Oreochromis niloticus: one gene and its partner. The protein of the gene in region 2 purifies or fractionates together with the protein of the main gene of each other region. This does not show direct contact. Links are inferred from orthologs where the notes say so. Each region holds a gene or a part of one and is shown on either strand. Other genes may lie near its edges.

Region 1 (7,568 bases), about 26 Mb from region 2:
TATGGTCTAAAATAAGAAATATATTAATTAATTATTTTATTTAAAAAAGGAAATTGATTGTGCATCACAAAGTTCAAAGAATTAAAGAAATGGTACGCTACACCTGAGTCCAGAACAGCAGAGGGGAACTATAAGACTTGTAACCTTTAAATTTGACCCCCTTTCTCCATCTAATGGCAGCGAAAATGAACAAATTTCATTCGTTCAGCCTGAAACATTTACTAAAGTGATCCCACCCCCACCTTCAAAAAACGAAAGGAAAAACAAATATTACATTTAATATATTTTTAAAAATATGTTACTAACTAATTAGATGGTTTTAAACCCGCCAGTGTGAGTCAGATCAAAGAATTTCTGTATTTCTATACTGACAATGGCGACAGAGTTCAAGTGTTTTTTACTCTCTGAAACACCTATGCGTTTTTAATTCATCTGAGGTTCAAAATAATATATACCTGTAATATTAACAGCATGTAGGAACCAAAACATAAAAACACACACATGCTAAACAATATAGTTTAATTTCATACATGTGCACATATTGAATACTGCAGTCGTTACATTTGAGATGTATGCTTTTTCGGGTTTTTTTAAAAGTCATGTGCTGCAAAGCAGTTAGTCACACACCCTGCTACGGTCCAAGGATGTATTAAAGGAGTAGTTCCGATACATCCCGGTCTTCCTCAGCTCTTCGGTGAATCTTTGTGATTTGGGGTGGAAAGTGCACGGAGAGCTTTCAAAGGTTGGAGGGAGGCGACCATAGTCGGCAGATGTGGTCTTATACATGATGCTTTCGAGCTTTGTTCCCGCTGCAGACATCAGACCTTTTGCTTGTGGAGTTATCACGCAGGTGAAAACTGGGTTTCCAGGACTGGTTGATGTTTTGGCTTCTTCTGCCTGCTGCTCTGGAGAGACTGGCATTGCTGATCTTCTATTAAAAAAGGAGGGGGAAACGATTTAGAAGATTATTTACACATTTACATTAGGTGTATATGGACTGACTAATGGTCGATGGAGAGTTGCATGTTATTAGTAGTGGTTTTAGCATGGTATTAGTTTCACACGGATTTAACATTAGATATATTTCGGTAATTACAATTAAATTATTTTCGAGCATAGAGCGGCCCAGCTCTAATTCATGTCTATTCATTTCTTTTAACTTCACTATCTGTCTAGCGCTAAATTTCTCACCACTGGATTTTTTTTCTTGACTGAAGCGTTGCTGTTTCCAAACTGCGATGTGATCCATATAATTACCTTAAACTCAATAACGCAACAAAATGCACCGACTGGTCACGGGTTGAAGACAGAGAAACATGTGGTTACCATGGCAATGACGAGCCAGGCGCGGACTAGTGGCTTGACCTCACATAATCTCACGAGACTTTCAAAGAAAGCGCGAGAGGACGGGGCTCCGACTCTTTTGTACCGAAAAAAAGACTCTCTGTCATCAGCAGAAAAATTATAGCTACTGTCAGAAATCGTCCCTGGCAAAAAAGAAAAAAAAAAAAAACGTTAAAAACTTCCCTATATTTCCAAACTTTGGTTAAAATCTACCTTAAAATATTTAATAGTATCCCCCAGCTCGCTAATCTAATCATTAACGTTCAAAAATGAGCACTATTTTCCTTCAGATACCTTAAATACAGCATCACCTTACTCCTCTCTTTAAATATCTCTCTGAAATCATACAAGAGTCCCATATGTCAGATGTAATGCGGCCAACTGCGTCCTCTCAGACATGCTCTGGACAGTCTCACACAAGCAAACACTAATCAGAGTAAACCAAGTTATAACACAACATAAAGAGATCTGATTAGAAGACTGAGAAGAAGAAAAATATAGATTAGATGTGAAAAGCAGGTTTTTTTTCTTTGCTGTCAGAGATAAAAATCAGACAGTCTGGCAGTCAAAGAAAGGAAGACAGAAAAAACAACAACAAGAAACCAAAAGAAACCACAGTGTGTGGTCACTGTTTGATATTGCATGGTCTTAAGTGCAAAATGTTCATTGGAGAAAGAGTGACGGTGTGTCTCACTCACCAAAATAGAGAACATACCACAACCCATGGGGCACTAAATAACCATAGACACATACCACACACCAAACAAATTCCCCACGTGTGGGACTAATAAAGGTTATCTTATCTTATCTTAAAGACACACATGCATGCAAGTGATAGAAGACAGAGACATGAAACTCAACTAATCATCACTTTAAATATGTGGGAGGACTGTAACAGAGCAAGAACTTGACTGGTGACTGACTATTTTCTGCATACAGTTTTTGGGTCCCAATGATCAGTGAAGATAAAACTCTAAAACAGCCATTAGGCCTGATGGGCTAAACCTGCCTTCAGGTGGCATACAAGGCTGTATACTGTGGAGTATAAATGCCATGTAGCAGTCTAAATGTTGCTGTTGTGTAAGTTCACATATTTGGACAAATTGTATTGTATCTCCTGCTAGTAAACCTCGTTAGATTCGTATTTTCCACTGCACGTAAAGGCATCATACACTGCGTCATCAGCACGTGACAACTGGCTACGTAGAATTACTGCGACTGTTCCTCTCAAACAGCAACGGAGTTGTTCGCGGACGTAAATCCGTGTTACTGTTGCTCCCCTGTTGTTGTTGAGGCCAATTGGCAGCCGGCTGTGTCTCGGCGGGAGGATGGACAGTGAAATCCAACGGGACGGGAGAGTCCTGGATCTCACCGATGATGCCTGGAGGGAAGACAGGCTGCCGTACGAAGACGTCACCATTCCTTTGGTAAAGTCTTTGGTTAATGTTAATGCTGAGGTTAACGTCAACAAGGACCAATGACTACAGAAAGCAGAAATGTTTTTGCAGGATGTTCCCGAGCAGTGCCGTTCATGAGAGGACACTCCATAATATCTAGCTTTTTACTTAATGTCAATGACGCAGATTAGATTAGATCTTTATTAATCCCTCGGGTGGGTTCCTCCGGGAAATTCAATTTCCAGTAGCAGAGCACCGACAGAAGTTACATATTACAGAGCTGTAATATAAAATAGAGGGGAATGAGAGAATATGAACATAAGCGTAAATATAGCATTTATACACATATGGTTGGGGGGGGATTGCTTTGGTATACTTCTCTTTCCTATTCTGGGCTTACAGAAGTGACATGCGCATGCTTACCTGCTTTGTCAAAAACAAACTATATACACTCATTAGATACACCTGGCCAAGGTTAAAGCCTTCAGAACATCTTTGATTCTTCACAGCAAACATTCAACAAGGTGCCTGAGACATTTCTGAGATGTTGAACCATGTTGACATGGTAGCATCACACAGTTGCTGTTGATTTGGCCGTCCATGATCCAAATCTCGTACTTGTACTACATCCCAAAGGCGGTCATTTGCGTGCCGTGACCATATCGTGTTCAAGAAACAAGTTTAATTATTTGATCTTTGCAACGTTGAGGGTTATCCTGCTAAAACTATTCTGCTATCACTAGATGGTTACACTGTGATCATAAAGGGATGGGCGTGGTCAAAATAATACTCATGAAGTTAGGCTGCGGCATTAAATGCTGCTCATTTGGTATTAAGACGATAAAAACATTTCCCACACCCATAAACATAAACTACAGTCTTCCTACACTACTTACACTTTATTCACTTTTAGTCACTTGCAGTTATTTATTCAACTTCAGTCACTTTAATTTTAAAACTGTGTAATTTTAAAACTGTATATACTGTATATTCTGTGTATTTATTATTTCACTCCTATTGCCTGTTCTTATTGTCCTTATCTTCAATGTATGCTGCTCGGTTGTTTGTTAATTGCCCCTTGGGGATAAATAAAGTCTTCTGATTCTGATTCTGATTAAGAGGTCCAAAGTGTGCCAAGAACAGATCTCCCACACACTGCACCACCAGGGGCCTGTTCTTCGTACCTCGCTAAGTAAGTTAGCCGGATTTGAATGTTGACGATTTCGCGTGATCTTGGATCGTTCGGTTCTCCGAAGCTCATCCGAGACTTGCTGTCATAGCAACAGATCCGTAAGCGTAAACCTGCTCGGGAGCAGGCTTACTTTATGTAAACAGGATTAGATCGCGGCCACTCAGGTATGTCCGCTGCAGTTATACGAAAGCAACAACGATATTTCTCCACTGTTTTTCCATAAATAAATATTATCAGTGTAACTAAAGATAATGCAGTATTTGATTCTGTTATTGATTCCATACAGATACATACAGATCATTTCCTTAAAAAAGGGAAATGTACTATTAATCATGCTATTACATGTATTTGATTATTTCAGATGTAATTCATATGTTAGAGTAGTAATAGTAAATTACTTCGTGTAATCAAGATGAGAGACCACGGCTATAAAAGCGAAGGTGGATTTGGGAAGTCCGTCGCAGCCATGTCCTGTCCGTTTGTACGCGAGCAAGGAAGGTGCAAGATTGATAAGGAGAGTTTCCAGAATTCAGCGGATATTGCGGGATAGACAGGATCCTTTAGCTCAGCGCGACGGTGTGCTCATAGAGAGATATCGACTTTCCCGTGAGGGTATTATTTTCTTTCTCTCTCTCTCTCTCTCTCTCTCTCTCTCTCTCTCTCTCTCTCTCTCTCTCTCTCTATATATATATATATATATATATATATATATATATATATATATATATATATATATATATGTATATATATATGTATATGTATATGTATATATATATATATATATATATATATATATATGTGTATGTGTATATATGTATATGTATATATATATATATATATATATATATATGTGTATGTGTATATATATATATATATATATATATATATATATATATATATATATATATATATATATATATATATATATGTATATGTATGTATATATATATATATATATATATATATATATATGTATATGTATGTATATATATATATATATATATATCCCAACTTACTGTGCATGCTTCAGTAAGTTGATGGAGTGTTATGTAAAACTACACACACAAAAACCCACAATGTCAATAAATGTCACAGTACAAAAAGGGGTGTGACGAGGGGGTGCAGGACCACCACCTGTCTTTATTTGCTCTGCCCTTTTCTTGGTTGCTGTTATAAACAAACAAACAGATTATTCCAGGGTCTCTTTTCAAGAGACTAAAAGCAATATAAGTGATAAATATTACCATTCTGTGGAATATTCTTATATTTCACTTTTACTTGTTCCCATGTTCTAGTGGGTCCTGTTGTGGCTCTAATGTGAAAGAGGATATGATGTAATATAATATAATGTGGTATAATATAATATCACATGATATAATGTCATATCATGGATCACTTACGAGTTTAATTTGTCAGCAACTTTCTGCCAGCCCTCTCTCCTTGCTTTTGCAGCCTTTGCAGTGTTCCCCTGCGTTTTAATTAAACTCTGAAACTCCTGATATCCCTCAATCAAGAGTTCTTGGTCTGCTGCCGTGAAATACTGAGCGCGCTCCTTCGACATCTTCGCCGACCAATCACAGGGTTGCCGATCAATGTTTCTACTATCGATGCGTAGCCCCTTTTAAGCCACCCAGTGATCTCAGATTACTTCATCCAGCTGTACTAATCGTCAACAACAGGTGTGTTCGGAGAACCGGATTAGCGAGCTCAAAGTTAGCGCGATGATTTGATCTTGGATGTGTCATTTGATCTTGGATGTAGTAAGCGAGGTACGAAGAACAGGCCCCAGCAGCCTGAACATTGATACAAGGCAGGATGGACCCATGCTGTCATGTTGTTTAGGTCAAATTCAGACCCTACCATATGAATGTTCCAGGAGAAATTGGGACTCATCAAAGCAGGAAACATTTTTCTAGTCTTCTGGTGTCAAAGTTTCATGAGCCTGTGTGAATTGTGGCTTTAGTTTCCTGTTCTTAGTTGACCGGAGCGGCACCCGGTGTGGTCTTCTGCCACCGTAGTCCGTCTGCTTCGAGGTGTGTTGTGTTGTGCATTCAAAGCTCTGCGTGCTTGGATTGCTGTCGCCTTCCTATCAGCTCGAAGCAGTCTGCACATTCTCCTCTGATCTCTAACATCAACAAGACATTTTCACCCATTTTTATTTTACCTTAAACACAAGTCACGGTTTTGTGGGAAAATCCCAGCAGATCACCAGTTTCTGATGCTCAGTTTGGACTTCAGCCAGCTGTATTGATACAGTCTTTGAGTTGCTGCCATGTGATTTGCTGATTAGATTTTTGCATTAATTAGCAGTTGAACAGGTGTACCTAATGAAGTGGCTGGTGAGTGTATCGATCATGCTGTTTTGGTTTAAGCTCTGTATTTTCCCCCATCAAATATTCTTGAAACCATCACAGTGTTGATCAAAGTGTCTTTTTCTTTCTTTTTTAATTCCATCTTCTTGTTTCCGGTTTGTTGCAGAGCGAGTTGCCTGAGGCTGAGCAGGACAACGGGGGATCGACAGAGTCTGTGAAAGAGCAAGAGATGAAGTGGACGGACCTCGCCCTGCAGAGTTTACATGAGAACACACCGAGCACCGGAAGCTGAAAGACTAACACAGAATCGAACTGTACAAATAAAATGCACAGACGTGGTGCGCACTGTGTCAATTTTGATACACAAATGTGCCGTTTCTTCTCGGCGCGTTGGCATTTTACACTTGCTGGTGAACTATCCATCACTCTTATTATAAAACATAAAAACATTGTTTATACTTTATGAAACTGATCAATTTGAGCAAATATAGTCCTCCTGTTTGTGTGCATTTATTAAACCACAGCTCTTATTTCTCCAGCGTTATATTGAGGAACTCTGGCTTTGAACAGATCCAACCTCCTGAGTTTGTAACAAAATCACCTTTACCCATGCAGTAATACCATAACGAGCTTGCAGGTAGTCTGGCCACTAGATGTCGCTGTACTATAAAAGCAGCCAAATTAATGGGGAAAAAGGATTGCTATTATGCTTAAAACACATCGATTAAACTTTCAGTTTTCTGCTACAGTTGTGTGTAACACCAGAATCTGTGCTTGTTACGTTCATACCAGTCGTGCTACTTGACCTTAATGTTACTGTTGCTAATATACAGCGTGTTATTTTACTATGCTGTACAGTTTTCATCTTCTTTCTCAGCCTGGGTAGTATCTAGCTAGGGAATCTGCATGTTTTGTACCAGCTGCCTCTTCCTTCTGCCTTAGATCATTGGTAGCATAACAGCCTGTTAATGTCCAGAGATGGCTCTCTGCTCTGAGCGTCCATCATCACTGTGTCTGTGCTGCTTCTGTCGTCAGCTTGCGAATCTGGTCACGGGGCCCCTTCCCCAGCAGCGCCGATGGGTGTCGGTACGAGCCTCCCAGGCGATCCCAGAGTGTGAAGTATTGTCCGTAATTGTAGTTGAAGTACAGGTGATGATCAACATGGTGAGCGGCACCGTTAATCAGAAATATCAGCGGGCCTGGAAGGCGGTAGTCTCCATCATGGATGGAAATGGTCCAGATGTTGACGAAGACAAAGAGGGAGAGGTAAACCACCTGTAATGTAAAATAACTCAAATGTCAGCCGAAGCATGTCACAGTTTG
Region 2 (7,181 bases):
AAAAGTTGGGACAAGGCCATTTTCACCACTGTGTGGCATCTCCCGTCTGGGGACCGAGGAGACCAGTTTCTCAAGTTTAGCAATAGGAATGCTCTCCCATTCGTGTCTAATACAGGCCTCTAACTGTTCAATCGTCTTGGGCCTTCTTTGTCGCACTTTCCTCTTTATGATGCGCCAAATGTTCAAAAAAGATCTGGACTGCAGACTGGCCATTTCAGTACCCGGATCCTTCTCCTACGCAGCCATGATGTTGTGATTGATGCAGAATGTGGTCTGGCATTATCTTGTTGAAAAATGCAGGGTCTTCCCTGAAAGAGATGACGTCTGGATGGGAGCATATGTTGTTCTAGAACCTGAATATATTTTTCTGCATTGATGGTGCCTTTCCAGACATGCAAGCTGCCCATGCCACACGCACTCATGCAACCCCATACCATCAGAGACGCAGGCTTCTGAACTGAGCGTTGATATCAACTTGGGTTTCTGCGCAACATTGTGGGAATTGGTGATCCTCTACCCATCTTGGCTTCTGAGAGACACTGCCACTCTGAGAAGCTCTTTTTATACCCAATCATGCTGCCAATTAACCTAATTAGTGTTAATTGGTCTTCCAGCTCTTCATTATGCTCAAATTTACTTTTTCCAGCCTCTTATTGCTACTTGTCCCAACTTTTTGGGGATTTGTTGACACCGTGAAATTTTGAATCAACATATTTTTCCTTTAAACTGATACATTTTCTTGGATTAAACTTTTGATCTGTCACCTACGTTCTATTCTGAATGGAATATTGACATTTGCCATCTCCACATCATTGCATTCACTTTTTATTTACAATTTGTTTAGTGTCCCAACTTTTTTGGAATCCGGTTTGTAAACACTCAGTTTTATTCTTTTCTAAGCATCAATATCTGAGCCTAAAGCCCCTTTTCCATTAGTACGACTGGTTTTCCATAACAATCGAGTACCACCTGATCTGTGTGATCGTCGTCACAGCAACGACGCCGAGTTTCCTGTGAAGTAATTAATAACCAACACGAATGCTACAACAAAGGTGGACATGGAGGCGACGATATACCTGCTGCTCGGTCTCTGGCTTTCAATTAGACTCAGGGAACGGGGCATTGTTTTTTGTAGCCATTTCATTTCGTTGCCTGGTTTCAATAATGGCGTTTTTGATTTCATGAACAAGACGCTTTCATGACTCATCGAGTGGTACCACTGAGCAGCCAATCAGTGGCATGCAGTTTGACGACGTCACATTTAAGTACCTGCTTGGAACCCCAGCCCAGCAGGTATTATAAAAGTACCTGGTACCAGGTACTATGACCTGATGGAAAACCCTTGAAACCGTGGCGAGTACTAATGGGAAAAGGGCTTAAAACACCTGCGCTGTCCCTGCTGACGTCAGGTCAAGTCAACTGAGAGAAAAACACTGTGTTAACGTTTCTGGATTAAATTATGTTAAGAGTCCACGTCTCACGACCCACAAGGATCTGTGTGATGGCCACACTCAGAGCTGTTCCAAACACCAATGAAAGGAGCTTCAATGCTTCCTTTACTGAACAGATGAGACACTGGAGCATCCTTTATGAAAGGGAAGGAGCGACAGACTTATCTGACTGTTCATGAAAACAATCATATAAAAACCAAAGTGGAGCAGAGCATGAAAATGTTCATCATAACTTTTCCATTTCATCCATAAGCTGCTGATATATTCATAGTTTTTAACAGAAGCTGATAAACTCACAGCTGAACTCAGAACATCAGACTGCTGGAGAACTACCTCCTGTTGAGTTGTTACTGCATGAAGAACAGATTTACATAAACACTCTAAACATTAAGATCTCTATGAGCTGCTCACTAAGTTTTAGCTTGTGAATATTCATCCAGTTGTAGTACACTGTGTACCAGAGTTGCGCCTCTTTCAACGTTTAAGGCATCTTCAGTAAATCCAGCAGACTTTTAACCACCATCAGTACATCTGAGCCTGAATCTTTGTTCTTTAAAACTCCACGCTGGGTTTTTTTTAACAGGCAGCTGACCTGGCACAACAAAGGCCTTCGCAGAATCAGGCTGAGAACATGCTGTGTTGAATTCAAATTGTATTTGTAGTCCATCCTCTGAACTTTTGAGTTTCAACACCGCGGACATGTTTACAGGCGCCGCTCTAGGTGACCTCTGACCCCGTCCCCGTGTTAGGGTCAATGATAACGAAAACAGAGATTCGTAGTTCAGACCTCTAAGCCTCCTCCTGCAGCTCTGCACCGATCAGTAATCGGTAACTCCTCACTGTTTCTCACCTGTGAGTGTTTCAGGTAAAGCTGTGCAGTCAGCGGAGTCAGCGCGACCCCGGAGCCTCTTCGAGGGCTGAGTGGCGGTAACACGCCGGAGTACGAGCTAACGGATGAGGGGGTAGAGCACAGTACGGCTGATCTACGCTTGGACGTTTGCCTCACCTGTGCAGTTGAACGCAGCGGCTCAGAGTGCCGTTAAACCGTTGAATGAGACATACTTACCGGAGGAAACGAACGACGCGCCTACGCGGAGCTTCGTGACCCGGAAGTTCTGAAGTGTCTCCGGCTCAGAGGTTGCACACTTCCGGTGGACACAGCAGCTGCAGAAAATAAACAGAGAGAGAAACGGCGGGAAAGAGCATTACAACTCGTATATCAGGTACCTGCACACCTGTTCACACTGAGGGTATCCGCGAGGACTGTCCGTTACCGGTCACTGTAACGTCACTGCGACTTCACTTTAGCGCAGCTTAGCTTAGCTTAGCTTAGTTTAGTTTAGTTTAGCTTAGCTTCTGTGAAATCCATCTGCGTGCGCACAGTGCGCATGAGTGGCGACTTAAGGAGCGGAAAGGTCAGGGGTCAGAGGTGAGACTGTTATAGCCAAGGTATGTCAGCAGCCAGTCAGATGAGACCTTTAAAGGTGTCTTTATAACCTTCAGGGCATCCTTTAGAAAAGCAAGCGAGCTAATGACTGAGTGGTGATCAGTCGCAGGAGATATTGCTCCAATTGATCATTGAATCACGAAGTGACTTCTGTGCAGGAATAGGTGTTCTCATGGTTTTTCACAGTTTTTCAGGCTGCTGGTTCTTTTCTGGTGTTTCCTTCTGCTGCCATCACAACAGCAGACCCATAGTACCATCCACACTCATTTGACTGACCAATCTGAGAGCAGATCATGCTACTGGTTCCTGTCTAAACGGCAGGTGTAGTTTAGTTTCTATTGCTTTAGAAGCAGCTGGATGCCCTGAGCTCCGCCCTGAGGCCCATACCCCGGGTATCTCTCGGTTACCCTGACGTCAATAATCAGGAGGAGACTTCAGGAGTCAGTGTTGCCGTGGTGATAAGTTACCTGGACTCCTGCTGTGGCTTTATATCAATACGTTCATCATCAGGATCAAACACAGACATCAAACAGTGTGATCAGTGATTCTGATAACAAATATCAGGAAACATTTTTTAGATCTGATCGATCCTAATTATTGATCTGATGGAAACGATAACTGATACTGATTGCTGTTATTTATCAGATTTCAGAATAAATTAAAGCTTCTGTGTCTGAGCAGAAATAAATGATTTATTGATCCTTTAACCTTCATCACTTGACTTTTCTCCTTCCTCTGAAAACTTTTGAAGTCAACCTGCTCAATATAGGCATCATCATGACAACAGGAGTTGTGGTCTTCTAAGGTTTTATTTTGAAATTACAGGCGGCTGCTACGGCCTCATGATATTCACAGTAAAAGCACAACAGCTTGTTTCTTTTTGTGCCACCATCAACTTTAGAGGCTGTAAAGATAACATAACATAAGATAAGATAAACCTTTATTAGTCCCACACATTGGAAATCTTTTGGTCACAAAAGCATCTGGAAACAGGAGGGGTGACTTCAATAGAAGCGTGTGATATTTTATTTTGAAAAGGTTCAGGAAATGTGTGCAGTAAATCATATTCATCAGTTTTATAGAACATTGAGCTTGGAGGTGAATCATTTTCATCAGTTAGGATGTCAAAAAGCAAACAGATACTCTGTTGTAATCTGAGTACTCAATCGATATATTGATCATCTGCTTTCAGCGTGGACACAAACTGAAAATGTTGAGGAGGAAACCGACTCGTCTAGAGCTTAAGATCGACGACACTGAGGAGTTCGAGAGCGTCAAGAAGGAGCTCGAGGTCTTCTCACTTTAGTACCAATCAATCAGTAACAGTCAATGAGAATGAATAACAATCAGTAACATCTGAGACTTTAAAGGAAGTAAACTGCAAACAGGACATTATCAGGTTTTCTTTTTCTTTAGGCCAGAAAACGTCAGCGAGAGGAGGCAGAGTCGGGAGGTGGAGTGGGTGGGGGCTCTGTAATTGGTGTTGATGTCATTGGGGGTGGAGCCTCTGCCTCCGCATCGTCCTCTACAGCCACATCAAGGGCAGAGCTTATCAATGAGCGAATCGGCTACAAGCCCCACCCCAAACCGGCGACCCTGCCAACCTTATTTGGAAGTTTACAGTTTTAATGATGAATAAAGTTTGAGCAAAAAAATCTTTGGAGTATCATTTTTTTTTACATGAGCAAACATAAACAATGTCAGAGTGAATCGGAACTGTAAGAAAAACATCGTGACCAATACAGGTGCTGTGTTGTACAGCGGTGAGGTGCCAAATTATGTTTATGGGGAGGCACAACTTTAGACTCATATGTATTCACAGTGACACGAGGCCGTCTCTGGTGCTGTTTAAGAGTTTACATTTTTTGCTCGATTATCATTCAGTGTACAATCCACTAAAAAAAATGTTTTTTTCCAGTCTGGAATCATTTTGATATTAAAATGCTAAATAGGGTCAATATTTTTCTTTCCCGTTTCCTCTTTTAACTCAGATGAGAACTGAGCAATTAAGTTCCAATTGCTTTTTTTTCAAATGTATTAACATTATTTTATTTGCACATAAATGTGTCACATACAACACCAGCACTAACATTGCACATTTTTCACTTATACTTTCTCGTAAATTCTGCATTTGCATCATCTTTTTCTTACAATCAACTTAATTTAAATAAACACACTTCTCTTTAATTCAGTTAGCACTTTGTAAACAGGACCATTCATCACTGATTTGATGTCCAGAATAAACCTAGTTCAGACCCTCTCCACCCTCTTCATCCAGGTTACCTGCAATGTTTTTTAAATCCAGCAGATGTTGCTCTTGAGCAACACATCACCACAGTGTATCAGGCATCATCTACCCATCATTAGGGTTCAGATCTTTACTCCTTAACTCACCTGCTTAAAGTCTGTATAGAGGCATGGCCTCTTTGGCTGATAGGTGAATAGCAACACAGTGGTGTTGCTGTAAATGCTAAACTACACCTCTGGACAGCATTTGTGCTGTTGCAGCATTTTGAATGGACATCAAACACAGACTTATTTTCATACAGTTTATTTTCATAATAAAGGTACAACAATAATATTTTATAAAGACGATTAGTGTCGGAACTCAGAAAAACTTGTATTTACAGTAACAGTCAGTAGGTGGAGCTCTCAGCTCTGACGTCCAAGAAGTGATGCTTACCAAACACTACTCACAGTTCTTTTAGTGTGAACACATGGCAACCAGAAAATATACAAAGTGCTGGTGATAAAAATCCAAACTGTTTGGTCAAAGAAACTTTCTGGGGAAAAAAACCAAAAATAACCTTGTGGGCGTGGTCTGTGTGATGAAACTGTGCATCATGCGCTATTAACAAATTAGCAGTGATGTGCAGAGAAACCTGGCCCCCTAAAAATAAAGACGTAAAAATTTTTATTTTTTAGTGTTTTTAGTTTTTGTTGGAACACATTTTTGTTTTGTTCGCGTTGGTGTTTCCAATTAAGTTTAAACTGATTTCAATGACATATGGGGCTCAGTTATGTTTCCTGAGACAACATCGACAACAAGCGGTTTCTGTCTTTTAGATCTTTAAGATTTTAAGATTTTCCACACTAAAAGCTTCTTCAGATTAATGGCAGAAATAAAAAAAATAAATTAAATAAAACAGATTTAGTGTTCAGAGCTGATGGTCAAAGGGAAGGATGTGTGGCCGTTGTAACAGAAGGGGATTTCACATCATTTCAACTAAAACATAAAAATATTTGAGTTTATTAAAAAAAAAAAAAGCTTGCACAAACATTTTAGCAGCTTCTGTTTGTTTGTAGTGTTGTTATTGATTCAGTGTTTGTTTACTCTGTTTGTTTATCATTTAGTGTAGATCGATCGATCAATTACTGATTCAGTTTCTTGACTCAAGGCTGGCATCCTTCCTGTAATGCAGTGTTGTGTGTTTTGATCTCGGAGTCTGCGATTGGTGATCTTAGACTTTAAGGGAGTGTCCTCAGATAGGCCACACCCACCACTGTGTCTGTGATAACCTCATCACTTCTTCTTAATAGCGGCAAGGTCACGCTGCAGCTCGGAGAACTTGGGCCGGTCCTCGGGGCTGTACTGCCAGCAGCGCTGCATCACTTTGTACACATCATCAGGGCAACGTTGAGGGCACGCCATCCTGTAACCTAGCAACCAGGAACACATGGTCACCGCATGATGACATCACTGATTGTGTGATGCAGCTGATTGATTATCTGAGCGTTTACCTTTCTCCACCTGCTCTCGAGCCTGCTGATTGGTCATCCCCGGGTAAGGACATACCCCCAGACTGAAGGTCTCCCACAGGAGGATACCGTAACTCCACACATCGCTCTCTGAGCTGTAACGACCTGCAGCGGCCAATCAGAGCACAGCACACAGTCAGCAGCCACTCTGTGCTATGTTCTTATTAATTACTGTCACACACTTAACAGCTTCTTTAAAAATCAACTGGCATCTCAGGTACAGGTGTGTGTGTGTGTTACCATAGTTGAGCGCCTCAGGTGCAGTCCATTTTATGGGGATCTGTTTGAGTCCAGAAGAAGAATAAATGCCATCATCCTCCTGACGACTCATCCCAAAATCACTGATCTTCAGCACGCTGTTATCCCCGACAAGACAGTTCCTCGCTGCCAGGTCCCTGAGACACACACACACAGACATGCACGCACACACGATGTTTAAACTCAGAAAATACTTATACTTTGAACTCACTCCAAGTTTGATGGCAAGAACAATTCTCTGCAAAGTTTTGACGGGTTTTATAACC

What was found.
Region 1: the proteins of cdc26 (region 2) and anapc13 purify together in Homo sapiens (affinity purification with mass spectrometry; 4 studies listed by BioGRID and IntAct, counting the BioPlex papers as one, with this or other methods). This does not show direct contact. The link is inferred for Oreochromis niloticus from reciprocal best matches to the Homo sapiens genes CDC26 and ANAPC13.

Annotation. Positions count from the first base shown.
Region 1 is NC_031972.2:64,183,850-64,191,417, reverse strand, and holds anapc13 (anaphase-promoting complex subunit 13), read left to right. Parts: upstream 1-2,517; 5' UTR 2,518-2,672; coding exon 2,673-2,771; intron 2,772-6,411; coding exon 6,412-6,537; 3' UTR 6,538-6,779; downstream 6,780-7,568. Other genes in the region: pierce2 (uncharacterized protein C15orf65), read right to left, coding at 616-921; lathosterol oxidase, read right to left, coding at 7,251-7,520. UniProt on the Homo sapiens protein: Component of the anaphase promoting complex/cyclosome (APC/C), a cell cycle-regulated E3 ubiquitin ligase that controls progression through mitosis and the G1 phase of the cell cycle.
Region 2 is NC_031972.2:38,210,686-38,217,866, reverse strand, and holds cdc26 (anaphase-promoting complex subunit CDC26), read left to right. Parts: upstream 1-2,547; 5' UTR 2,548-2,674; intron 2,675-2,686; exon of another isoform or gene 2,687-2,880; intron 2,881-4,090; 5' UTR 4,091-4,108; coding exon 4,109-4,189; intron 4,190-4,314; coding exon 4,315-4,527; 3' UTR 4,528-4,555; downstream 4,556-7,181. Other genes in the region: tyrosine-protein kinase Fer, read right to left, coding at 6,422-6,558, 6,640-6,762, 6,898-7,052. UniProt on the Homo sapiens protein: Component of the anaphase promoting complex/cyclosome (APC/C), a cell cycle-regulated E3 ubiquitin ligase that controls progression through mitosis and the G1 phase of the cell cycle.